Linked DNA regions of Nothobranchius furzeri. The protein of the gene in region 6 interacts with the protein of the main gene of each other region in a pairwise test. Links are inferred from orthologs where the notes say so. Each region holds a gene or a part of one and is shown on either strand. Other genes may lie near its edges. The genes, in order: cwf19l2, protein FAM124B, mcm10, copb1, protein FAM107B, trim37 and pnkp.

Region 1 (3,500 bases), on a different chromosome or scaffold from region 6:
TGTAGTTTGTAGCACTCATTATAATGTTGTAGAAAATTTCTGGCCAATCCACGTGATCGGTATCGGTGATCAGCATTCTTTGATATCGGTATCGTGATTGGCAGCAAAAAACCTGATCGGTGCATCCCTAGTCACGAGACAGCAAAACAATGTGATCATTTGTCAGTTGTAAGATGGCTTCAGGTTCACCCAAAGTCCAAACTCCCCGACGGGCGGCTTTCACTTCCTGAGATGTCTCTTCAGTTGGTCTTCTTCTGTCCCTCATCCTGTGCTGCTTGCTTTCAGTTGGACCACTCCTCTTTATCACCTGCCTGATTCCACTCACATCAGTAGGCTCTCGCTTATCTTTGCTTTCCTTGTGACCTCTTTTATTACCTCCATTGTTTCTGGCGTGCGAGAGCTTGCAACACTACAGTAAGTAGCCTGTGCTTTCATGAACTGTGCTGGCTGAGCTGTTGGAGGCCAGATGTCAGAGGATCTCTGCTCTGCAAAGCCTTCATTGTTTTGCCCCATTAGGCTAAGTTGTTTGGGTGAAGTGGCAGTCGGAGCCCCTGCAGCATGAAATGAGTCTACAGTGTGGGAGCAGATGGAAATGATGCTATGAGAAGTGTAATAGCCTAGAACGATGCTCTTCAGGCTGCAGCGTTGTTCCTCCCAGACAAGGTGGTAACCGTCGCCGGAGGGCCTCTTAGCAGATCAACAGTCAGCAAACGGCTACATGATGAAACTCACACCTTTAGGAAAGGGTTTCTTTTCGGGGAGGGGGGTTACAGAGAGGAGAAATACACAGACATATATAAATCCACTGTTTTAATTTTCACATTCTGAAAATAGTAAATGGTCTGTATTTGACATAGAGCCTTCTAGTGTTTTCTAGAAAAAAAACACCAAAAGAAAAGTTTTTTGTTTACAATAACAGTTTTGTCCTATTTGTCTATTAACTCATTCACTGCCAGTGACGACTAACGTCGTCATTTTAGATCCAACCGTTTACTGCCAATGACGACTAAAGTCGTCATTGGCATTTTTTAACTGTTTGGGCATCGGAACAAGCCCCCGCGCTGAGAGAACAAACATCTTAGCTCTGAAGCCGATCTTCATCCGCATACGTCACACATCACATGTCACACGACACATGATCAGGAAGCAGAACATCCATGTGTTAGGAGATCGTTTTGGGCCGTTCCTGTAAAAAAAAGTGAGACGCGAACCAGAAAAGCGTATGCCGATCACAGTTCAGCAATGGATTATGAAAGAACGGATAACGCTCGAAACACAATGATTCTTCCTGATGTAAGAGGCAAATATCCACTTTGTATTGGTTGTTTTGGTGTCGACATCATCTTAGAGCGCAACGTTCTGTGACTCTTAAAAAAAACAGTAAAAATGGTGAGAAATGCTGGCAGCGAATGAGTTAAATGTTTTTACCCAGGACTGAGAGTGAAAGTGAGGAGGAGGAGGATTTGCTGTTGCTGTCTGAGGAAGAGATGAACAAACTAGGGTCCAAGCTGATAAAGGCAGAGATGATGGGCAACACGGTAAGTTTATGATGTTTTACTGGCCCAGATTTTAGGTTTGACAAACTCTGTTCTGGTCTTTGGTTGGGTTCAAAAAGGTGCTTCCTTCTGTTTTAGCATTTTTCAGACGGATCTGCAGCTGGCATGTCCAAAGTGTAGCTCTCAGATGTTCCAGGAAATTAAAACCATTTTTAAGACATGAAAGTTTACGTCTAATTGAAAATGTTTTATTTATCACCTTTTCTTAGCCCAGTAAACTTGGAATGCTTCATTGGAACCTCCACAGACCCTAGCAGCATTCCAGCTGGCCAATCACAGCTCTCTACGGGGGTTTCAAATTGGGAGAGCACTGTGATTGGTCCACAACACTGTATCGGCTTTGTGGGCCAATTAAAGCTTTCTATTGGCATTGTGGGCCAATCAGGGCCCTCTATTTGTCTGGTGGGTGTGAATGTGCGACGGATTGAAACAAGATGGCGACAGCTTGTTTGAAACGGCTTTTACATCAGTTTGGACTATTAGGTCTTGGGCTTTATTAGAATCAGGACCAGAGAGATATATTTCAGTCCTTTTTCAAGAAAAAGGGTGTATTTTCACCTTCTTCAACAGCAGACCGCCACGTTTAGACATCCGTTGCGGTGAGTACGTCACGTTGTTCATTGTCCAGTAGCATGCAGAGGTCGTTTGAAAGACAACAGTAGAACACGCCCCACGACCGAGATCCGTCAATGGAGCGTTGCTAAGCTAAGCTTTTCTCCCTTTATTTTAACTTTCCAGCAAATGGGACAACAAACCCTCACTGTGAGACTTATTCATATGTTTTGACTAAATACAACAAACATTACTGAAGAGTGACCCAGGTCATTTTCTTGTAGCTGATGAGAGATTAAAATTGATATTTAGGACAAAAAAACAAACAAACCAGAAAACCATCAATCTGTTAAATCTTATTAAGATAAAGGTATGGCACTCTTTTCATGCCTCCCATCACAAAATAACTGTTTGTTTTATGAAATTATTGCATATTTAATGTATCGTTGAGCAGATAAGTATCTTCAACTTGTTGATTTTGGTCTATGATTTTTAAAGTTGTGACTCTAGCTCACACTGATGACTAAAATGTGCTTTTATAGTGTTAGCAGCTCGGATGAACGCATCAGAGGAGTGGTGAGAGACAAACAAACAAAAATACTAATGTCTTAATAAAACTCCTGCATTTTCCATGAGTGGTTCCTTATTCTAAGTTTAAAATCTTAGTTTGAGGATATATTTTATATCTTTTTTAAGCAGATGTTAAAAGGGATAGTAGCCAGTTTTGCTTTCTTTTACCACCCCTTAGTGCTCATTATTAAATTACTGTGGTTAAACCGAAAAGGAAACTTATCTCCTTGCTGTGCATTCGTCTTTGTAGCACCATGATCTAACAGCTGAAACGTCTCCTCAGCCTTCATTAGTGTCTACAGGAGTGATTCATCACTAAATTAAACAAATCAGCTGGGTTCATGACCTAAAACGTAGGAAACTTGCTGGAAGCAGACTGCAGCGTTAGGCGTGTCTAGGGATGGGTACCTTTGACATTTGAATCGATCCGGTACTAATTACCGGTACCTACGAATCGATACCGGTACTTAACGGTACCAATTTTCGATACTTTTGAGTGTTTATTATTTTAATTCTCTTTTATAATTAAATATATATTTTTCTCAATATATAACAATATTTGATAAATATCACGATAAATAACATATAACTGTTTGTATTTTAACATTGCCCTTGTAGTTTTATAAGCTGATAATTAAACTGAAGCAAACATCTTTACTGTGAACTAAATTTACTGTGTCTTCATTCCTTTTGCCATCTTTTTTCATTTGATTTTTCCTACTGGGAAGTTAGAATTTCCGAGGAGGAAGCGAACGCACCATTAGCTGATAACAATGGTGGCAATGGAAGCTAACATATCAAGCTAACGATATCTTAAACAGT
Region 2 (4,289 bases), on a different chromosome or scaffold from region 6:
CTTTATAAATCCAGTTCCTTCTTCCATTCTTCCTCCACAATAATAATATTCCCAAGAGGACAAACAGATTAATGTTTTTTAAGATACCATTAAACTAAAGAGGCAAACCTATTCTCTTCTAAAAGGCTAAAAAGAACGCAGGTGCAGTAACATCTTTATGACTCTGGAGGACACCATTTTCATACAGTTGTTCTACGTTTTGCCAGCAGAGAGCGCAAATTCCCAATATTTTCAAGGCAACAATACAATATTTGTAGTATTTAGAGGAAGTCTTTCTACTATGGGACTCTTTAAACTTTTTGAATTAAATTTCTTGCTGTACTTCTACTGCTCATTCTCCTTCCTCCTAACCCTAATATTTGTCTGTCTGGATCTGAAAGTCCCACAGGAGCCTGGCTTTCTTTCGCTCTACCACCAACTCTGCACAGATGTTCTTGCACATGATGCCAGCAACTTAGTTGTGGCGTTCCATTTATGTTCTACCCTGCCAGGGCCTATTCCTGTGCAGCCATGACACGTGACATGAGTGCCTTTCTTGTGTGTGTGTGTGTGTGTGTGTGTGTGTGTGTGTGTGTGTGTGTGTGTGTGTGTGTGTGTGTGTGTGTGTGTGTGTGTGTGTGTGTGTGTGTGTGTGTGTGTGTGTGTGTGTGTGTGTGTGTGTGTGTTTTCCATGTAAATGTAATACCGATGGGGCAAGCAAAACAGGAAACATAATAGACAACAGTGTTGTCTATTATGAATTGTTGTCACAACACATAGCAGAGATTAATATCAAGTACTCAAAGCGCTGCATTTGGTTTCCAGGATCTAGACACATTCCCTGCTCATTTAAATCTGCCCAGCCGTCTGCCCTGTCTCCTTTGTCTCCTGCCATCTGCTCGGTCATCACAGCCGGGTGTTCTGACTATCCATATCCATGCTACTCGTCGATATGAGCCGCTGTGGGTAAATGCGCATGTGCAGACCGATTACTACGTCACAGGCTGTTTACCTGAAGAGACGCTAACTCTGGAAGTTGTTACATTACTGCTATGTTTACCTGACAGTTAGCTTGTGAAGGGCATGTAAATCGTTATTATACTATTGTAAACAATACATTTCCCCCATTGTTGACCTTCATTCACAGAATTATGACAAACACAGTCATTTTAATAAATAAACCACAACAAACACTGTATATTTTTGCTAATAATTACACTACAGTTCTGTATTTTTGAGTAATATCACCTATTTAAAATAAACTGCTTAATAAGTGTGTTACTGAACTGTAAACAAGGGCAAAACTGTCATAACACGCTGCGGAAGGAATATTCAACCGAGGAAGCGCGGATCGTCAGAACACCGGCTTTGCTTTGCTTTGCTCCACTTCTGCTCCCTTTCGCCCTGTAATTTACGCTCTGTAAGCAAACGCCAGTCTTTTATTTTCCGACCCGAACAAGAAGCACTGAGTTTCTGTTAGACATTGTTATCAGGATGGTGTTTAGCTCCCTGGTGACGTCACTGTCCCAGTAAGATCCCAGTACTTCTTCTTCCCTTCCCCTCTGCCAGTCTGTGGAAACAAATCCAGCAGGATGCTTGACACTCCGGACTGTTACAAAACCTGCTCAAACTCTCTTCCCCGTGCACAGGACCAAATGTGAGTGTGTGTACCGGGACAGAACACCGGACGATGTGGCGGAGAGTGGCGGCTTTGCGGTCAGCCGACAATGAAAACGTGGACTCCGGGGCAGAAACAGCCGAGTGAGTCAACTGTTGCCTCCGAGTTAGCTACAGGCTAACGATAGCTTCTGCTCCTCATCAGCAACAACAATGGAAATGAATTTAGCTCAGATTAAACTCCCAGTGACGGATGTAATAATTGAAGCCAGCTCCGTAACTTGTTACTAAACGTTTTTAGACATTCAAACCTCATTGTTTTGTGTCTTTTCCACGTCTTATCGTGATTTTGTTATTGTAAAATAACATTTTTTTAGTTCGTGGTAGCTAACAACAGATAAAGTGTTGTCATGGTGACCAAAGCAGCGACGGGCAGGTTTCCAAAGCAACCGCCACAAGATGGAGACAGATTTTTGTCTTTTCCTCACGAGTTATTCCTAAAATGTTTTTTATTTCGTGTATTTTTTCCAGATCTGGCTGCAGCAGGATGTCATCGTCTGGTAGTGAGTTTTCTGAGCTCATAAAAAACTAAAGCGTGTCACAGATGGAAGATTTTAACCTGAGAGTAGGGATGGGTAGCAGATTTATGCTCCACTATACCGATACTAATATTATCTCAGTTGTTTCTAAATATACTTAACACATTGTGTCTCATTTAGGTCCAGAAATATTGTGAGTATTTAAACTAAAATATGTTTAAAACATGCTGAAAAGTTTTACAGCTAAGCCTAAACTGACTTCTTACTGGTGCTTAAATTCCTTGAAAATGTTTACTTTTATGAGACATGGGCATGGAGTGATCGTAGGCATATGTGTACTGTGTATCTTTATTTTATATGAATTATGTGTTTGTGTGTAACTTCAGTGGAGCTGGTGACCAGGCAGACAAGGCAGCAACTCCTGTTGATGAACCTGCACCTACTTGCCAACCCTGGAGAATCTCTGCTGCTGCAGCAGACCCTGGACCGCCTGCTGCGCTGGCTGTGCCCAAGCCTGCGCATCTTCCATGTGTCAGAAAGAGCCTCTCCTTTCAGAGCTCCCGTGCACCTCTGTCCTGTGGCAGGTCTGAATCTTCAACATGCTGTAGATGCCACCACTTCTTTTCTATAGGCCTTGCTGAGAATGTTTAGTTTAATTTAATGACTTGTAGTCTGCTGTTGTTCATCATTAGCTCACATCGAACCGTTCTTTAAAATTTCCCAGGATACCCTTCTTTAGCCATCACCTTCTTCCTCCACGAGGCTTACGGAGAGGAGCGAATCCTAAAAGTGCTGGACTTCTTTCAGCGGCCACCCTGGCAGTACCATCACACCGAGAGCTGTGGCAGCCGAGCTGCAGGGATCCACATTACGTCTAGCAGTTCGTCCAACCCCCGTCTGCGGCCCTATCTCCTACCCAGCAGGGACTTCTACAGCCTGGGTGCAGGCATGCCTGTGTGGGGGGTACGGCCTGTGCACTGTGGAGGAGAAATACTGCGTGTGACGCTGTACAGTAACTATGACAACTACGAGGATGCTGTAAGGCTGTATGAGACGGTGCTGCAGCGGCGGGCGGAGGAGCAGAAGACGGGATTCTGCTGGTTCACCGTCCACACAGGTAGAACCCTCGGGTGGACATGGACTTGTTCTTTTCATGGGCAGAAGAGGTTGTTGTTGTTCTGGATGTTTATGCTAGTAGTCACACACAAATAAAAGCTGTCAGGAAAAGGTTCTTGTTGTTTTTGCAATCTTTCATAAGGAAAAGCTCAACTTTTAGTTCCAAAGTGTTTTGGGAAAAAATTGGCAAACATTAAAAGAAGCAGACACTTAATTCAGAAAATTTAGTTCTTATTTGTCACGTTTTCATGATTTCTGAGTAATTGCAGTTTCATTAGTAATTGTTCCACTTTTGCCTGTTTATCTCTTTGCGGTTCTGCACACAGAGCCAGGGCTGTGCCTCCAGCTGGCTCTGAAGCAGCTATCTCCTGGAGTTTGTGTGGAATCGTGCAGCTCCGCTGCTCTGCAGTTCAGCGTGGAAGAAATTGGACAACTAGTGCCACTGCTGCCCAACCCCTGCAGCCCCATCAGCACCACACGCTGGCAGACGGAAGACCTGGACGGTAACAAGGTTCTCTTTCAGGTCAGACCAATTTAAATTGTGTTTTACTGTTTATTTAAGCAATTTTTTTTAGCAGTTTCGATGTGATTTTGTAGTTTGTCACATAATCATAATCCTGTGCTGCAGGTGAAAACCGCGCCTCAACCTCAGCGACCTCTGACCTGTGCGTTTCCCCTGACCTATCTGAGCGTGTCCCCTAGAGGGATGCAGCTCCGGAGCTCTGGACAGGCCTACAGCTCGTCATCCACAACCCCACCGTCCTGGCAACGATACAGACAAGGTACAGTTTCAGAACAATTTGAACTTCCAAATTCAATTTTATTCATGTAAACTTAGACCTTAGGAGACTTTTCTATAGATCCAGGAGAGTTTTATGTGCTCATCTCCTGACCCTGTCGTGATTCTGTTGGGTTGTTTCCAGGAAACCGGCCCCGCAGCGATCCGGTCCTAGAGAAGCTTTCTGGAGCAGAGAGCCTGGGATCAGGGAGCTGCTGCAGCACTCCTCCTGGAAGCTCCTGCTACTCATCTCAGCGCAG
Region 3 (2,702 bases), on a different chromosome or scaffold from region 6:
TTATTTAAATGCTAATCTGGATCATTAATACCAAACATTTCGAAACCTGATCAGTTATTCAGCACAAAGTTTAACTAGGCTGATGTTTAAGAACATAAATATACATTCAAACCAGGACCATGACTAGACCCGTTCTATAGGACCAGGACTAGACCCGTTCTATAGGACCAGGACAAGACCCGTTCTATAGGACCAGGACAAGACCCGTTCTATAGGACCATGACTAGACCTAATCTATAGGACCATGACTAGACCTGATCTATAGGACCATGACTAGACCTAATCTATAGGACCATGACTAGACCTAATCTATAGGACCATGACTAGACCTGATCTATAGGACCATGACTAGACCTGATCTATAGGACCATGACTAGACCTGATCTATAGGACCATGACTAGACCTGATCTATAGGACCAGGACAAGACCCGTTCTATAGGACCAGGACAAGACCTGTTCTATAGGACCAGGACAAGACCCGTTCTATAGGACCAGGACAAGACCCGTTCTATAGGACCATGACTAGACCTGATCTATAGGACCATGACTAGACCTGATCTATAGGACCATGACTAGACCTGATCTATAGGACCAGGACAAGACCCGTTCTATAGGACCAGGACAAGACCCGTTCTCTAGGACCAGGACAAGACCCGTTCTATAGGACCAGGACAAGACCCGTTCTATAGGACCAGGACAAGACCCGTTCTATAGGACCATGACTAGACCTGATCTATAGGACCAGGACTAGACCCGTTCTATAGGACCAGGACTAGACCCGTTCTATAGGACCAGGACAAGACCCGTTCTATAGGACCAGGACTAGACCTGATCTATAGGACCAGGACTAGACCCGTTCTATAGGACCAGGACTAGACCCGTTCTATAGGACCAGGACAAGACCCGTTCTATAGGACCAGGACTAGACCCGTTCTATAGAACCAGGACAAGACCCATTCTATAGGACCATGACTAGACCTGATCTATAGGACCATGACTAGACCTGATCTATAGGACCAGGACTAGACCCGTTCTATAGGACCAGGACAAGACCCGTTCTATAGGACCAGGACAAGACCCGTTCTATAGGACCAGGACAAGACCAGTTCTATAGGACCAGGACTAGACCTGATCTATAGGACCAGGACTAGACCCGTTCTATAGGACCAGGACAAGACCCGTTCTATAGGACCAGGACAAGACCCGTTCTATAGGACCAGGACTAGACCCGTTCTATAGGACCAGGACTAGACCCGTTCTATAGGACCAGGACAAGACCCGTTTAATGGGACCAGGACTAGACCTGAGCAGTAGGGACTATGTGGTCCTGTTTGGGGGGATGGAGGAAACACTGGTAATAACCTTTAGAACCACAGCCCTGTTCACACCCTTCTTAATAAAAAGTCATTTTCACTAACAGGAAATATGTGAGTCAAAATTTTCCAGAGATGCTTCATGCGTTCTGCACTGAGGGCTTCTGTTCCTGTTTGACTCCGCTAACATCTTTGCAGGGCAAAACCTTCAGCATATGGAAACTCAGCGACCTCCACAACCTGGAGGTCTTTGTGTCTCTGTTCCTGTTTGGTGACGTTCACAAGGAGCACTGGAAGATGGAGCTAGGCACGGTCATAGGACTCCTAAACCCCAACTCCATGAAGCAAAGAGATGGATACGACGGGGTGAGTGTGTCCTCTCACCTTTTAGGAGCTGTAGGAGGTGTAGTTTAGTAAATATTTAATAAATAGTTGTTTTCATCACTTAAGTTGCAATCAGACATCCAGCCGAACCATAGTCTGATTTGAGGATCCAGGCTGGAGAACAAGAACACCTTTATTTGCATTTTGTAGTTTATTATGTAATTATTACATTTTTGTTTGTTTTTGTTTGGCTTCATAAGTCAGCCAGGAAGAGCTGTACAGCCACTTCTTTAGGGAAATTCACTGCAGCATGCACTGGGGTGGGCCTGTGGTTTTCTATCAGAGCAGGAAACCGTAAAAAGATGGATCTTTACTTATTGTAAGCTGGATAAATGAAGAGTAAAACACAACCTTTAAGGTTTAGACACTGGGCTGTTGTCTGTAGGATAATGGTGCAGCAGTGGCTTGTTGATGTCTTTAGTTTAACAAACAATTCAGTCATCTCTACTTTGCTGTTAGACAATCAGTCTAAAATTATCACTATCAGTCTTAAAACAGCGACTCGAGCTCTTAAACAACTCTTTAACCAGATTCAACCTTTGGCAAAGCAGGGATGAAGGTCGAAAGTCTTGTGAATGCTGCAAGTTGATTCTCCCTCCCTAAAACAACAGCTTGTGTTTCCTCACAGGTGAGTTTGACGGTGGACCACTCCCAGAAGGTGCTGGTTATGGGTGAAGCTCAGGACTTTGGGACCTGTAAGGCTGTGAAGAAGAATGGAGAGCCGTGCTCTCAGATTGTTAACATGGTGGGTCCCTGCTCTCCTCCAGGCTCTGCTACACTTCTTTCTTTATTCTTTCATCACATGTTTTTTTTCCATTTGGACGTTTCTGCAGTACGAATGCCAGTACTGCCAGTATCATGTCAGAGCCCAGTATAAGAAGATGAGCTCCAAGAGAGCAGAGCTGCAGTCGTCATACTCTGGAAAACCCCCCAACAGGGTGAAGGGGAGGGGGGGGCTCAAAGAGCGCCTGTGTCAGGATGGTTTTTACTACGGCGGCGTGTCC
Region 4 (3,500 bases), on a different chromosome or scaffold from region 6:
TTGGCAACATCGGTAATATAGTTATTAATTTGTCTTATCAGCATAATTCAAATCATTTTATTTATATTTTTGTAATCAAATTGATTTCTTCCTCTAGTCTATGACGTGTCTGGAGCTGCTAGCGACAGGAACTGTGTTGTCCTCAGCGACATCCACATTGACATCATGGACTACATCCAGCCAGCCTCCTGCACAGACGCCGAATTCAGACAGATGTGGGCAGAGTTTGAGTGGGAAAACAAGGTCACTTTAGCTTTTCAATTTTGCTACAAATCATCCATCTTGCTTCAAAACAGCGCCCTTTCATGAATTTTTTTTTTTTTTTTTTTTTTTTTAAGAAATCCGTAAAGGTGATCGTCTTTCGTCGTTCTGTGATCTAAAGTAGTTCTTCTTTTTCTGGCTAAGCCCACCCTCCGTCCCACAGAGGCTCATGCAAATTCAATCAAGTGGCGCTCAGCGTTAGCTGTTAGCGTTGGACATCTGCTTATGCACTGATGTCACTGCGTGTGCACACGTTTCCTCGAGTATCTAGACTGATGCAGAGTCTGTAAGTCTTAAGTGTGTGTGCCACTGGCTACTTTATAGGGTACTGCAACAAGTATATCAGTAATTGTGTGACTACGTGATCCATCAGGACCAGATGTAAATCAGATCAGAAGTTAGGATCAGCTCACATGAGTAAGTGACAGAGGCAGGATGAGATGAGGATGTTGGTACCAGTATGGAGTATAATATAACAAATAATAACAATTCATACAACAAATATCAAGGAATGACCATTTGCAGATATCAAACTACATTCATATCAATTATCAATAGAATTCCATTAATCTTGTAGCACATGGTTGACGGCAACTTAAAACTCCAGCAGACTCAAGGACCAATGAAATTGATCCTAAAGAGTGAGTCCAGTGTCCTTGAGGGGGAGGGGGGGGGGGATTGTGAAGGAAGTGATTGGGGTAATCGCGGCCCGCTGTTTAATGACGGTGGCTACAGGAGCCTCCTACCAGCCCAACAGTGATGGAAAGGGTCCGATTCAAACCTCCTGGCTTGATTCAGGGCTTCTAGGCTTGCGGCCTAAAGTCTAGTGGGTAGCTCGCCATTCAAAGAGAAAAGACCTGGTCTGAAAGAACAGGACCAGGTGGTAAAGAGGTCATAGTGCACTAACATATCATCATCATCATCCAAATGAGCTCAGAATTGTTCCATATATTGTACAATACGTCATCCAAAAATAAAACATAAAAATTGTGCAACTCTCAGTTATTATCACATTGGATTGATTAAATGTACCCAAATAAGTCATTCAGATAACAATGAGTTCATCATTAACATCCAAAGCACAATCAAAGAGCATTTAAAGTGTATTAATATTTTAAAGTGAGAGTCGAGGTGTGGGTGGAGATGTATTTCATCCACTATTTCATCCACACTTCCTGTTAGGAAAACACTTCTGAAAGAGGCGTCGCCTGGCAGACCAAGAAAGCGGCACTGAGGCAGTGGTAGACCCCCCACCCCCACGTGTGCTGTCATAGTTTACAAGTCTAAGAACGATTTGTTAACGAGCGTGTGGACGCAAGCACATACTCACACAAGACTTACTGCTCAGGAGAAAAGCAGACACAGATTCTGCAGCATTCTGGAGGATTTCCTGTTAAACGCGATCATTAGATGAAAAGGGGAGGAGGGCATTTTTTTCAAGGAGGCGAGCGGCTCTGAGGGCTAATGTGTCATATCGGCAGGTGGGTGGCTGAGCCAGGTGGAGGTGCGGCTGCCTCACCTGGAGACCAGTGCAGTGCAGCCACGTAGTCATTTGCCGACAACATCACGTTTTTCGGCATAGTCATCAACCACAGCTGATTCTACATAAATGTGGAGCAGAGTTTTAACCTGAAGATGGAGATAGAATTATGGTTTGGGGCTGAAATGTTCAATTTAAAGTAAGTTGCACTAAACTGCCACACTAATGATTACACTGTACAGCGCCATTAGACACTTGTCTATACAGGTTATCAGCAAAAAAGTTAATTTAGGCATTACCGTACTTGCACTTTAAATAGCACCGTACATAATAACTCACTACAGAATAAACACATATTTTTTGCCATGATACTCAGTTTAACAACTAGAAAATCAACCACACTCAACACACAATTAAAAAAGTATTTGCCTTTAGTTACTTAAGAGGTTTTAGGGAAATCACAATAACACAGGCTAATCAGCCAAAATGCATCAGTACTGAAAGTTTAAGCTAATCAATTCAAATTCAAAAATACTTTATTAATCCCTGAGGGAAATTCAACTGTTTCAGTACACAATTCCAAGATCAGACATACATACATAGACACATGACAAGAATTGGTGACTGTGCTCATTTGCAACACGAGTCGCGCTACCGTTATAGATCAAGAGGGTTTATATCATCATCATCATCACCTTTATTTATAAAAGCACTTTACAGACATATATTATGTCACCAAGGTGCTGAACAAGACTAAACTGAAAAAGATAAAAACAAAGAATATATAGGAAACCAAATAAAAAAATAAAAAACAGCAAAATACAAAACATCAGTTAACACACAGATTTTAAAGCCAGATTATAATAATGGGTCTTCAGCGCCTTCTTAAAAACCTCTACTGATGTGGAGAGTCGCCCAGATAATGGAAGATCATTCCATAATTTCGGGCCTGCTACCGAAAATGCCCTGTCTCCACTTGTTTTGAGCCTAGTTGCAGGGACTAGAAGCATATGGTGACTCTCTGAGCGGAGCGAACGACTAGGTATATATGGCTGTAACAAGTCAGATAAATATTCTGGTGCCATCCCATTCAATGCCTTAAAAACCAATAAAAGAATTTTAAAACACACTCTAAAAGCGACCGGTAACCAGTGCAGATCTGCCAGGGTGGGTGTCACATTATGAGGATAGTCAGGGGGAGGGGAAAAAAGGCACTTCAGAGTTACCCCCGACAGAGAGGATAGCTTTGCTATGCAAAAAAAAAAACCACCTCAGACAGATATGCACACAGACTTTGGACGATACACAATGTTATAAGCCATCTTCCCAAGCTAGCCTAACTCTTCAACAGATGTTACGTCTCAGGGTTGACTTGCATTTCTATTTGCGTGGGCGTGACACCAGCCACTCTTTAAAATGCCCTCACTCTTGTAGGAGCTGATTAGCAATCACTGCTAACCTAGATTCTGATTCTGGCAAAACCAACTTTATGCAGCTCAAGGGAGACTCAGTTTACTCACAATCCATGTCCATGAAGCTTATGTACACTTCAGGTTAAGACTCTTGCCAGCTGTTCCTTTTATGCTGCGGAGACAACTGACTTTACCTGTAGCCTAGGATGGAGGAAACACATATCAGTTACACCTTGGGATGGCATTTACAACCAGCATCTCACCTTTGCTCGGTTACCGACAGGAAGAGACCCCACTCATAAATCCTTTTTTCATTCCTTGAATTCGAGGAACTAGGTTTTATTTCA
Region 5 (3,500 bases), on a different chromosome or scaffold from region 6:
TGCTCTGACCAGAACCTTTACAGAACTAAACTGAACCAGATCTGCTCTCCTCTGACACCACCGTTGGACACCGCCTTAGACTCTGTGGACTCTTGTGAGACAAACAGCTGATTTGATTTTTCTGAAATATGAAGCAGGCGTTCACATTGATCTCTGGTTTCAGACAGAGAAAGGTCTCAATGAGGACATCTGATCTGTGTCTCCCAGAATATCTTAGGGTGAGGATCAGGTGATTGATAATCAGTTCCCTGTCTTCTGAGACAGTGGAGGACATTGAAAAGGACAAAGACAGAATGAGGAACTCAGGGCAAGCAAGGACAGACCAGCGTCTTAATTTGAACTAAGCTTAAAAACTGTCTTTTGTCCTCCATAGGCTGCTGTACCACAGAGGACCTTCTGTGAGACATTTTACAGGACAGCACATCTCATTGTTTTTAACACTGCCCTTATTTTTTGTGTCCTCTATGTCTTCAGCCTCTGCATATGCTGACCTGCAGCAGTGCCACTCTGAAGGCGTACACAGAAGGCCGTCCCCTGTGTCCAGCTACGTCCCCCCACCTGACTACCTGGACGAAGACGAAGACCTGATCAAACCCAAGAAGCTGGTGAATCCCGTCAAAGCTTCCAGGAGTCACCAGGAGCTCCACCGAGAGCTGCTGAGCAGCTGCAGACGGTAACGTGTTGTTGTCCTCACCTTTCTTAGACATAAGCACATCTGTGGAAAGGTTGAAATTCTTTTCAGGACATTCTGTTCTGGAAACCGTTTTCTGACATTATGAGATGTTTTTGACAACAAAGACAGTAGTCCCATATTCTAGCTGAACTTTTGCTGATAACTCGTCCATTTTCAGCTGCTTATCCAGAGTCAGGTCGTAGGGACAGCAGCCTAAGGTGAGAGGCCCAGACTTCCCTCCCCCCAGCCACTTGGGCCAGCTCCTCCGGGGAAACCCCAATGTGTTCCCTGACCAGATGAGAGACATAGTCCTTCCAGGGTGTCTTGGGTCTTCCCTTGGGTCTCCTCCCAGTTGAACGTGCCTGCAAACCCTCACCATGGAGGTATTCAGAAGGCATCCTGACTCGATGCCCGAGCCACCTCAACTGGCTCCTCTCGATGTGGAGGAGCAGCGGGTCTACCCTGAGCCCCTCCCGAATGACCGAGCTTCTCACCCTATCTCTAAGGGAGAGCCCAGCCACCCTGTGGTGAAAACTAATTTCGGCCGCTTGTATCTGCGATCTCGTTCTTTCAGTCACTACCCAAAGCTCATGACCATAGGTGAGGGTAGGAACGTAGATCGACCAGTAAATCGAGAACTTCGCCTTCTGGCTCACCTCTCTCTTCACCACGACAGACCGGTACAACACCCGCATCACTGCAGACGCAGCACCAATCCGCCTATCGATCTCACGCTCCATCTTTCCCTCACTCGTGACCAAGACCCCGAGATACTTAAACTCTTCAACTTGGGGTCAGACCTCATCCCTGACCTGGAGAAGGCATTCTACCCTTTTCCGAATCAAGACCGTGGTCTCAGATTTAGAGGAGCTGATTCTCATCCCAGCTGCTTCACACTGGTTGGGATGATAAACTTAACTTTTGCTGATAACATAAATCAGAAGTTTGTTCTTCTCCTTCTGGGTTCTTAACTGGGCTCAGACCAGAACCAGGGTCAGAACCAAAGCACACGCGAGCCCCCACAGCTGCTGATTGGTGCAGATTATCCTCCCCCTGACTAATGCTGACCAGTCAGGGATCACATGAAGACAGTTAGTATTTTTCTGTCCTCTTCATGGAGTCCAGGCTGTTTATTTGTGAGGAGACATGTCTATGTTGCTAAGCGACAGCCTCAGAGGCCTCCACCACCGCCGAGGATGATGGGAAAGTTTTCGCCTCCTCACAGAGGCTTATTCACAGACACACAAAGCCCACTGCACTCTTCCTCGCTGTTTTGTTCAGCAGGAAACAAAGATCACAGCAAGAAAAACATCCTCCACAACTTTATTCTGAACACGCTGCAGATTCACACGGAGCAGCCAGAAAAGAATCAGTCATCAGACCAACGAGCACAAACCCCTGGCTCACTGATCTCTAATCACAGAGACCCACAGAAAGGATTCAACAACCTGATTTTATCTTAGAGCTAGAACTTTAGTGATGCTGTGACAAGATGCCCACTGCTAGTTCAAACTCACACACAGATGTGCTCAAACATAAATATACAACATACATGACACATGATGTGTGTGTTTGTGCAGAGGAGGAACCAGTGTGGAGACAAAACCAGAGCTGCAGAGAGTTCTGGAGTCCAGGAAGAGGGATCAGCTGATCCGACAGAGGAAACAGGAAGAAGAGGCTCGCAAGAAGATTTCCCCTCTGGAGGCTGAGCTGCTGAAGAGGCACACAAAGCTGCTGGAGGTGGGAAACACGGCAACAACACGCTAACAATACACCAACAACATGCCAGCAACACACCAACAACACACCAGCAACACACCAACAACATGCCAGCAACATGTCAGCTACACGCCAACAACACACCAGCAACACGCCAACAACATGCCAACAACACTCCAGCAACATGCATACAACTCACCAACAACTCACCATAAACACGCCAACAACACACCGAAAACACACCAGCAGCATGCCAGCGACATGTCAGCTACACGCAAACAACACACCAACAACATGACAACAACAAACCAACACCAAAAACATGCCAACAACACACAACAACACGCCAACAACATGCTAACAACACACCAGCAACACACCAACAACACATTAGCAACACGCCAACAAGATGCCAGAAACATGTCAGCTACACGCCAACAACACATCAACAACATGCCAACAGCACACCAGCAACATGCCAACAACACGTCAACAACATGCCAGCAACACGTCAGCTACACGCCAACAACACACCAAAAACATGACAACAACATGCCAGCAACACGTCATCTACACGCCAACAACACACCAACAACACGCCAACAACATGCCAACAACACACCAGCAACATGCCAACAACATGCCAACAACACACCAGCAACATGCCAACAACACACCAGCAACATGCCAGCAACACACCAACAACATGTCAGCAACATGCCAGCAACATGTCATCTACACGCCAACAACACACCAACAACACGCCAACAACATGCCAATAACACGCCAACAACAAGTCAGCTACACACCAGCAACACACCAACAACATGCCAGCAACACACCAACAACATGCCAGCAACACACCAACAACACACAAGCAACACGCCAACAACACGCCAGCAACACACAGCAACACGCCAACAACATACCAACAACACAACAGCAACACGCCAACAACATACCAACAACACACCAGCAACACGCCAACAACATACCAACAACACACCAGCAACACGCCAACAACACGCCAGCAACACGCCAATGACACGCCAACAACATGCCAACAACATACCAACAACATGCCAACAACATACCAACAACACACCAG
Region 6 (4,104 bases):
CTAATGCTGTTTTAGCTACTGTTACAATTTGTAACTTACAAAAACCAGTTAGGAATCACTGGAGCCTTAGCTTGGATCATTTCTGTACTGTACTGTATTTTAAAAACCAAATGTGTGAAACATTACCATTCCTCCCCAGAGAGCACACTGGTGGCAGATGCATTTCTTACAGGTCCAACAGAAAACACTCAGCTTCTCATGGTGGTTTTCGCATCTACAGAGCAATAGAACCATAACCATATGACACAGTAAACACAGGAGTGGGGAGCAGAAAAGAAACCAAGTTGGTTATTCTTTTCGTTTGGGGGAGCTGCTCACTTGTCCTTATCGTTGTCCTCATGTTTGGTGAGACTGCAGAGCTGCAAGGTATCCAGCTGCTGGGTGACCTCCTCTGCCCAGCGACAGTTCACCAGCTCCCTGAGCTGCAGCGGGGCTCTGTGTGCACAACACACCCATATTTCATCATGAGCTGCACACCTTACAAATCAGCTGGCAGTATGGGATGAACATGGAAATAGTCCAGATGCTGTAAGATGTCCTAAAAGCTGAATAACAAATATTTAAATGTGTTTCTGAAGCTACAGGAAGCTGTTCCATAGTTATTATATACTTCTGAGTCCCAACACTATGGAAACAGTTTTGTGAATGGATTTCTTAATGGTCTCCCACTGTGAATTTATTGTTGTTGTTGTTTTTTTTCTAATTCAATGTATTACTGAAAGGTCAAAAGTAAGTCTCTCTGAAACTTCTTTAGTTAGTGAAAAAAAAAACAAGATGTAAAACCAAAGGGGTTCAGATAAAGGCAACTGGGCTTCATCAGAAAGCAGTCCAGTTGCCTTCATCTGAACCCCTTTGGATTACCATGACCTGGATGACTGATAACTTTCACCAACAAGATGTAAAGAAGGCAGAAAAATCTTTGGCTCTCACCGACAGTGTGGACACTGGGCTCTCTGCTCCGTCAGCCACCGCTGTCAAACAAGAAGTTACAGCTCAAACAAAGGGTGTAAAGACAACTAGAGCAGCTAGTTTGCTACTAAAAGGGATTATCTGAAATAATTTTCTAAATAGAACTACATACTAATGTCATTCCTCCTATTTTCCCCCAACAAACTACTTCCAACTTTAATTTAAACCCCTCAAAACAAGCTGAAACCTTATCTACTCAACAACAAACAGAGATGCACATTTACACACATAATTAAAGAATATATTTGCAGCTAATAGCAGAATACATAATCTGTCATTCATTATTGCCTTTTCTGTGTTGTTCCACTCACTCGTATGCAGCTGAAACAACAAAGTTTGGAGCAATGTGGGCACAGCCGAGCATCCCTCAGTTTTTCCATGCAGATGAAGCAGCGAAACACCTCAGCGATGCTCTGCAAACAGGCAGAAGGAGACTTTTAATACCAAATACAGCAGCAGAAAATAAAACAACTTGACTAAACAGTGTGTGTGACTGTGCTCAATAGTTGTTGGAAATAGATTTAATCATACAGCTTTCATGCCGAATGTGTTATACACACCTCAACACTTTGTTCATCCATTTCAGCCAGTTTGAGGTTCTTGGTGATGAATAAAACAAGTAGTCTGAAAGAAAAGTATATGAATTTAATTCTCAAAATTATGAGCTTGGTTAAACTCAGTTTTTGTTCCATAATAATTGGTAGTCATTAGTGTTTATTCTGATTTTGATAACAGGTTAAATCACTCAGTAGCAAAAAATGTAAAAGGTTTAAACCAATCTGGTTTTAATTCACACAACTGATGGATATGTTTGTTACATTTAAAGAGAATTTATTATCGGTCACAGATTTTAGAAATATTGTCCATTTGTTGTTCAACTGGACAAGAAGATCAACCAAGAAACAACTGATGCAACCAGCTCAAAACTCAGAAATTGCTCATCATCAAAACACTTCTTAAAATACTGTAGTGTGTACACTCTGGATACAAAAATGATGTGAAAATAATCGACTTCAAACTGAAGAAATAATTACTAAAACAAAAGTGGTGGTCTTTGACAGCTACAGGATGAGGCCCTGAAATCTGTCCCTGAAGCTTCCAGCTCCACCAAATTCCCCCCTTAAATCTGTGACCCCAAAGTGTTTCGTGATATTAACTGAATGGCACACTGAGTAGGAAGTATAACAAGTCCATCCCTGTGTCATATTAGGACATCCACGTCAACACGTCAGACTAAAACATACATAAAATATCTATAGACCAAGTTAGCTGCAATAATAGAATATAATCTACGCAAAGTGCAGTAAATAGATAGCAGGGACATAGTAATGTTTATGAAAGTTAAAACACCAAATTAACAGAGTTTTTGCAATGCACAAATGTTTAAAAACTACAGGTTCTGCTTCCCAGAAGCTGTTATCATTTCTTGGTGATAGCAGATTGTAGGTAGCCATCAAGAGGCCCAGAGTCAGCTGCAAACACAAGAACGAATAACTTACCAGAAAACAAGCCCGTCACTGCTCTAAATAACAACTACTCATACAATTAAACACAAGGCAAAATTTGATCAAATGATGAGCAAAAAAAAAAAAAAAAAAGCTACATTGGTACCCAGAGCTAGCTAGCTGGCTGCCTTTTAGCAGCGGTTTTCTCACCTTTCGAGGACTCGGCTTCGTCTGTTACACCTGATCAACAAACGGTCTGAGGAGGCTACATCGTGTTACATGACACCTCCCCCAGTTTATAAAAAAAACATATAACTAAAATAAACAGCGTTAAGAATCTTGTTTTGGGTCAGCTTCGATTAAATAGGCCACTTTATGTTCCAAACTGAAGATGTAGCGGTTAATCTGAGGCAGTTTGTCCCCCAGCAACAACCAATCACATTTCTCCGTTTCTTTTTTCTTCTTCTTCTTTGGTTTCGATGAGTCACCCAGTGTTATCATTGCCCCCTTTTGGTGTGGATCCTTTACTACAGTCCCATTGCCTTCAACGATTCAGGATTATTCTTTTATCTCCTAACAGATCTTCTGTTCTAATTAAAAAATAATATCTATGCATTTTTATACTTTCTACATAAGATCAATACATTTTTTAAGTAAAATTTTTATTATATTGCTTAAAATGGTCAATGAAATTCTGAAATATCATGGAAATTGTGTTTTATTGATGAGAGGTAGCTATTTTTAACTTAAAACATACACCAAAATATTACTAAATCATAATATCACTGAGAAAAAAACTAACCATACAAGTCTATATGATTTATGAAACATGAAATCAGCCAGAATTCAGCAACCGTGGGACATTTTACTGCTGCCTACTGACAGAATCACAGAGGCAGTCTGGGACAAAGCAGATGGCATGCTGATCAGATGACAAAACTACAAAATTTCTCATAAAAATTAAATGAAACAAACTAATCTTAGTAAATCTATGTGATCTTGTATCTGGCAGCCTTCTGAATAAGTTTACACATAAAACACACATCAAAGACACATTTTTCTGTCTTATAAATCTAATCTTTAGCTGATTTTATCAGTCAAAGAATCACTCGTCTTATTTGACTACCAGAAAGAAAAAAGTTTACCTTAGCTTGCATTCTCATTTGAATTTAAAGCCTTTCACCATATTTATTCCATAAACACTTCTGCACATGTCTGCAGGGGTCAGTTACTCATTAAAGCCAAGGTCTGATATGATTATCAGACTTGTGTCTAAATTATTCGAGGTCTTTCTTTATTTTCATTTGCATTTACTCATAACCGTTTTAACCATGCACTTTGCATTTCAGTTAATGAAAATGACAGAACACTGATATTTAACTTTAAATTCTGAAAGAAAAAAAATGCTTTTGAAATATAAAAGACACTAACTACATAAAACACGAACTGGAATAAACAGGAAACTTTTTTTATTTAAGGTAAAAGTCCTTGAAAAGTCAGCACCTGTGATGTTAACAAGACACATTAGTACTCACCAAAATAACATATTTGTTTCTGAAAAAGTATATTTTCCTTCAGCTAAAATGCACTTGCACATGTGTTATAAACAGAAAATGCACAATTAAATAACTAAATTGATCAGTTTAAGTGACAAAGTCCCATTCTAAAAGCCAATGTAGTTCAGCCAAAC
Region 7 (4,142 bases), on a different chromosome or scaffold from region 6:
CAGCGGCGCTTGTCTGCTGTGCGGCTGCCGGCTTGTGGAGCTCTCGGGAAACCTCTGTGTTCCACCCGGTTGTACCCAGCGGTCAGCCCGGCGTATCTCTGACTCAGAAGCTCTGGTGTCGTGCACAGTTAACTCCGGTTGTAGCTAGGTTGCTACCTCCGTTAGCTTAGCTCCCACCTCCGCATTAGCTTTGCTTGTAGCTAGTTCGACCGGGTGTCGTCAGTTGATCCCAGCCTTACAGCCCCACCCTCAGCTCTTCCTCTCTTCCCTTTTATGGAATTGTCTGGGCTTGAGGGAACCTGTGACACGGTCAAAATGGCGGTGGTGGACACCTCCCATTTTTCTTCAACAAAGTCTTGTTGGATCGCAGCTGTAAGGCGACCAAACGTCACCTTCTGTAGTATTTTCATTCTGGTAAGTTACAGATGGTGTACGTTTTTATATATCGTTTATTTCCTTCAACCGCGACACACACACACACACCTAAAACCAACTGGTAAGCTTTTCTGTTGGTTAAAACCTCATGATGTTCCTCAGTAGGAAGTAAGAACAAGTACAAGCGCTCACACCGCTGAACCAGGGATCCATGAGAACAGCCGATATGCGGTCTTCACTCACCCTGGTGCCTGGAGCATCTCTTATCGGTGACTCCAGTGTCCGGACCCCGGCCCAGAATCACGGCTCTTCCGTCCTCCAGAGGAAACCGAGTTCCAGAGGCGCCAAGCAGCGAGCACATCTTTCACTGGTTTTATGCAACAGAGAAGGTAATTATTACACGCGTTTACGCTCGCGCGAAGCGTGTGTTTACCTCAAGAAGCATCTGGCTGCAGCCGCTGTGGAAAGCCACAGTAACCGGAAACACGTGACCTCCACAGTAGCCGGAAACACGTGACCTCCACAGTAACCAGAAACACGTAACTTTAGTTAAATCGACTTTGACAGCGAAAACTAAATAGCGATTTTGTTACTATTGTTGCTGCTGAGAAATAAAAGGCTCCTGTGTGAAATGTATGGTTGTAGTTGTGTGTCTTATTTTGAAAGAACTATTTACGCATTACCATAGCGATCAGAGAGCATTAAGAAGTGTGCCCGTCTGAAAAAAGTGTATAAACCATGTAGTGAGGTGTTTTACAGTCTTAACATCTACAATAATTGTAAAAAATAAAGTTGGCTACTTCATGGATTTCACCTACGGCGGGTTATTTTTAGAACGTAACTCCTGTGATAAACGAGGGACTGCTGTATTATTAAGTAGAGTCTAGAACATCTAATTGATTAACATCAACATTGATTATTATGCACTATTATTTTTGTTCAACGGTGATAAAGTCCTAATGTCTTCATGAAAGTTCCTTTTTTTCCCCATCTGAGCATCGGGGAAAAGGTCTTGCAATTGTTGAGGTCACTAGTGTGTGCCCCATTTCTTCCAGGATCACTCTCTTTATAGGTTTTAATGGACTCCTAGTACTGTGAAGTGGTTTCATGGTACACAGTGTTGGGAGTAATGCGGTACAAAAGTAATTAATTACTGTAATGCATTGCTTTTTGCTGTAATGTGGTAATGTAAGGCATTACAGGGAAAGAAAATGGTAATATTTACTCGGTACAATTGTCAGTAACGTGGTAATTACAATGCATTTTTAAACCCAGAATCAAGATGTGTTCCTTAAAAATTCAAATTGCGGGAAACCCGAAGAAAGATCCAGTATATATTACGTCATTTATGGACTCAGCTTTGCGGGCAGAGAGGACGCCGCGGTAACGGCTCAACTACTCCAGCTGCGTCCTGCACGTGGCCACTGCAACGTTCACAAAATCGCTCCACTAAAACAAAATAATTCACTTGCGATCGTTCATATCAGCGCATATTCTCTGATATTTTGTGCTTTTCTGACGTGCTTTGCCTCATCTGAGTTAATCTGGGCCCCGGTGATTTCAGCTCATTACTGCTGGAGCGCTGCGCATGTGAAGATCCCTTTGGCTGATAGTTAGAAAGTAGGAAGTCTAGGAAACAGTTTTTTCTGGAAGACGGAGAAAACATGCAGCATGCAGGGAAGTTAGAGAGAGAAAGGGCCAAAAATTATTCAAATAAAATCAAGAAAACAAAACAAAGTGCTTGAAAAGAAAAAAAATAGGTAGATTTATCCCCAATACACATTTTTACCAGTGAAAAGCAATAATATATAAGCATTTAATATTTATACATGTGACAGAATCAGATCACCCCACAAGTCAGTCCCACATCCAGGGCCATATCAAGGCATTTGGGGACCAAGGCAAATATAGGCGTGGAGCCCCCACCACCTCTCTCCCTGCTCAGTTATTCTAAGATGGCAGCGTGCTGAGAGTACAGATTGTTGTTGCTTTTATTTCATGAAAACAATCATTTAAAGCACTGTTATTATATCTGACTGTTTTTAACAGCAACCCTAGCTCAGACACCACATCACTTTCCATCGGATGTGTCATGAGCTCACTGAGCGTCACATTACCAGATTCATATTGAAGTTGTTTTGGTGAAAGTAACTTAAAGTAATGCAAAAGTAGTGTAATGCCTTACATTTTAAAATCAGTAATATTGTAATGTAATGAATTACTTTAAAATGAGGGTAACAAGTAATAAATAATGCATTACTGTTTTGAAGTAACTTGCCCAACACTGGTGCTGAAGAGAAAAGGTACAGAACCAAATTATAGCTGCATGTTCTCCTGTCCTGTCCTCCGGGCCACACACACACACACACACACACACACACACACACACACACAACAAGGGACTGTCTCAGCTGTTATTTTCGTCAAGGGGTGTGCACGTACAGCATGTGCGCCTCGTGCACGAGCCTACTATTGAAGCTGCCGTTACGCTTTTGGCCTGAGGGGGCAATCGCGAGCATAAAAATTCAAAACTCCGTAAAGACCCTTTAAATTAATTAACAAATGACAAAATAATAAACTAAAGGAAATCCTTCAGTCCCCTCTTCATGGAGCTATTGGTTTGGCCCCATCAGCTCCTCCTGTATTTAGCTGACGGAACCCCTTCAACACTGTTTGCCTGTCCCATCTCAGGAAGCAGGAAGTGGAGAACCTCTCAGCACCGGTAAGAGAAAACATAAATTTACTTAAATTGAACAAATGACAGGCATAAAATACAGCAGTTAACTAAATATGCACGCTTACAATCAGAACTAATGCGTTTAAGCCGTCTAAACAATAAATCCAAAGAAATAAACGTACAAACTGAAATCATAAAAGTGCATGAGTGTACTAACGTTCACTGTTGTGTGGACATGGATGTGGCCATCACACTGACCCACTGTGTGACTGATTATGTAAACTTCTGTGAAGAGAACACTGTCCCAATGATGAGAACAAGCTTTTATGGCTGGTGACAAAGAAGAGTAGACAAGTCCAGAAGGAGCTTAAATATAAGATCAGACAGGCAAAAAACAGCTTCAGGAAGAAGCTGGAGGAACAGCTCGGGCAGAACAATGGTGCATGCATGGAGAGGCCACAGGAACATCACCGGACACAGTGGGAGGAGTAGTGCCAGTGAGTCTGCTGAGTGGGACCAGAACTGGGCCAACGAGTTTGACCCGTTTTAACGGATTCGGACCAAACAAAAGCATCCCCAATAATAAAACAGTTACCAAAAGTCCCACCCTCAGTTAATACAGTCACTCCTTCACCAGTTACTATTAATATGGCTATATTAAATGTTCGCTCCCTGCTGAACAAAACGTTTTTAATAAATGACCTGATTTTAGATCGTAATCTTCACTGTCTGCTTTTAACAGAAACATGGCTGAGTTCAGATGCACCTGTTGTTCTCACAGAGGCCTCTCCGCCAGATTTTAATTTTTATTGTTCAACGAGGAGTAGCAAAAGGGAAGGCGGTACTGCTTTTATTAGTTCATCAATACTTTCTGCCAAACCTGTTTGATAATTTTACCACTTTTGAATATACAGCAGCAGTTTTTAGCCCTCCTCAGGTTGTATGTGTCACAGTTTATCGGCCTCCTAAGCAGAGTGCCATTTTTATTCAAGAATTTTCAGAGTTTTTATCAATCCTGCACAACTGCTTTGAAAGGATCATTTTAGCCGGTGATTTTAATCTACATATAGATAATCCTTCTGATCCTTTT

The links.
Region 1: the proteins of trim37 (region 6) and cwf19l2 interact in binary tests that used the Homo sapiens proteins (3 or more experiments, as listed by UniProt). The two-hybrid records come from large-scale screens. The link is inferred for Nothobranchius furzeri from reciprocal best matches to the Homo sapiens genes TRIM37 and CWF19L2.
Region 2: the proteins of trim37 (region 6) and protein FAM124B interact in a two-hybrid assay, tested with the Homo sapiens proteins (2 studies listed by BioGRID and IntAct). The link is inferred for Nothobranchius furzeri from reciprocal best matches to the Homo sapiens genes TRIM37 and FAM124B.
Region 3: the proteins of trim37 (region 6) and mcm10 interact in a two-hybrid assay, tested with the Homo sapiens proteins (2 studies listed by BioGRID and IntAct). The link is inferred for Nothobranchius furzeri from reciprocal best matches to the Homo sapiens genes TRIM37 and MCM10.
Region 4: the proteins of trim37 (region 6) and copb1 interact in binary tests that used the Homo sapiens proteins (3 or more experiments, as listed by UniProt). The two-hybrid records come from large-scale screens. The link is inferred for Nothobranchius furzeri from reciprocal best matches to the Homo sapiens genes TRIM37 and COPB1.
Region 5: the proteins of trim37 (region 6) and protein FAM107B interact in binary tests that used the Homo sapiens proteins (3 or more experiments, as listed by UniProt). The two-hybrid records come from large-scale screens. The link is inferred for Nothobranchius furzeri from reciprocal best matches to the Homo sapiens genes TRIM37 and FAM107A.
Region 7: the proteins of trim37 (region 6) and pnkp interact in binary tests that used the Homo sapiens proteins (3 or more experiments, as listed by UniProt). The two-hybrid records come from large-scale screens. The link is inferred for Nothobranchius furzeri from reciprocal best matches to the Homo sapiens genes TRIM37 and PNKP.

What each region holds. Positions count from the first base shown.
Region 1 is NC_091753.1:35,494,906-35,498,405, reverse strand, and holds part of cwf19l2 (CWF19-like protein 2), read left to right. Parts: intron 1-1,432; coding exon 1,433-1,538; intron 1,539-3,500.
Region 2 is NC_091753.1:33,488,154-33,492,442, reverse strand, and holds the start of protein FAM124B, read left to right. Parts: upstream 1-1,489; 5' UTR 1,490-1,669; coding exon 1,670-1,740; intron 1,741-2,127; coding exon 2,128-2,159; intron 2,160-2,521; coding exon 2,522-2,719; intron 2,720-2,859; coding exon 2,860-3,252; intron 3,253-3,577; coding exon 3,578-3,774; intron 3,775-3,879; coding exon 3,880-4,033; intron 4,034-4,174; coding exon 4,175-4,289.
Region 3 is NC_091741.1:61,273,881-61,276,582, forward strand, and holds part of mcm10 (protein MCM10 homolog), read left to right. Parts: intron 1-1,512; coding exon 1,513-1,680; intron 1,681-2,326; coding exon 2,327-2,443; intron 2,444-2,531; coding exon 2,532-2,702. UniProt on the Homo sapiens protein: Acts as a replication initiation factor that brings together the MCM2-7 helicase and the DNA polymerase alpha/primase complex in order to initiate DNA replication. Additionally, plays a role in preventing DNA damage during replication.
Region 4 is NC_091749.1:61,877,254-61,880,753, reverse strand, and holds part of copb1 (coatomer subunit beta), read left to right. Parts: coding exon 1-12; intron 13-97; coding exon 98-243; intron 244-3,500. UniProt on the Homo sapiens protein: The coatomer is a cytosolic protein complex that binds to dilysine motifs and reversibly associates with Golgi non-clathrin-coated vesicles, which further mediate biosynthetic protein transport from the ER, via the Golgi up to the trans Golgi network.
Region 5 is NC_091743.1:77,097,330-77,100,829, reverse strand, and holds part of protein FAM107B, read left to right. Parts: intron 1-474; coding exon 475-673; intron 674-2,253; coding exon 2,254-2,413; intron 2,414-3,500. UniProt on the Homo sapiens protein: Stress-inducible actin-binding protein that plays a role in synaptic and cognitive functions by modulating actin filamentous (F-actin) dynamics. Mediates polymerization of globular actin to F-actin. Also binds to, stabilizes and bundles F-actin.
Region 6 is NC_091750.1:52,480,721-52,484,824, forward strand, and holds the start of trim37 (E3 ubiquitin-protein ligase TRIM37), read right to left. Parts: upstream 2,801-4,104; 5' UTR 2,625-2,800; intron 1,594-2,624; 5' UTR 1,551-1,593; coding exon 1,530-1,550; intron 1,383-1,529; coding exon 1,281-1,382; intron 972-1,280; coding exon 931-971; intron 436-930; coding exon 319-435; intron 215-318; coding exon 127-214; intron 1-126. UniProt on the Homo sapiens protein: E3 ubiquitin-protein ligase required to prevent centriole reduplication. Probably acts by ubiquitinating positive regulators of centriole reduplication.
Region 7 is NC_091753.1:66,391,843-66,395,984, forward strand, and holds the start of pnkp (bifunctional polynucleotide phosphatase/kinase), read right to left. Parts: upstream 2,801-4,142; 5' UTR 809-2,800; exon of another isoform or gene 743-808; 5' UTR 737-742; coding exon 619-736; intron 415-618; exon of another isoform or gene 150-414; intron 145-149; exon of another isoform or gene 1-144. UniProt on the Homo sapiens protein: Plays a key role in the repair of DNA damage, functioning as part of both the non-homologous end-joining (NHEJ) and base excision repair (BER) pathways.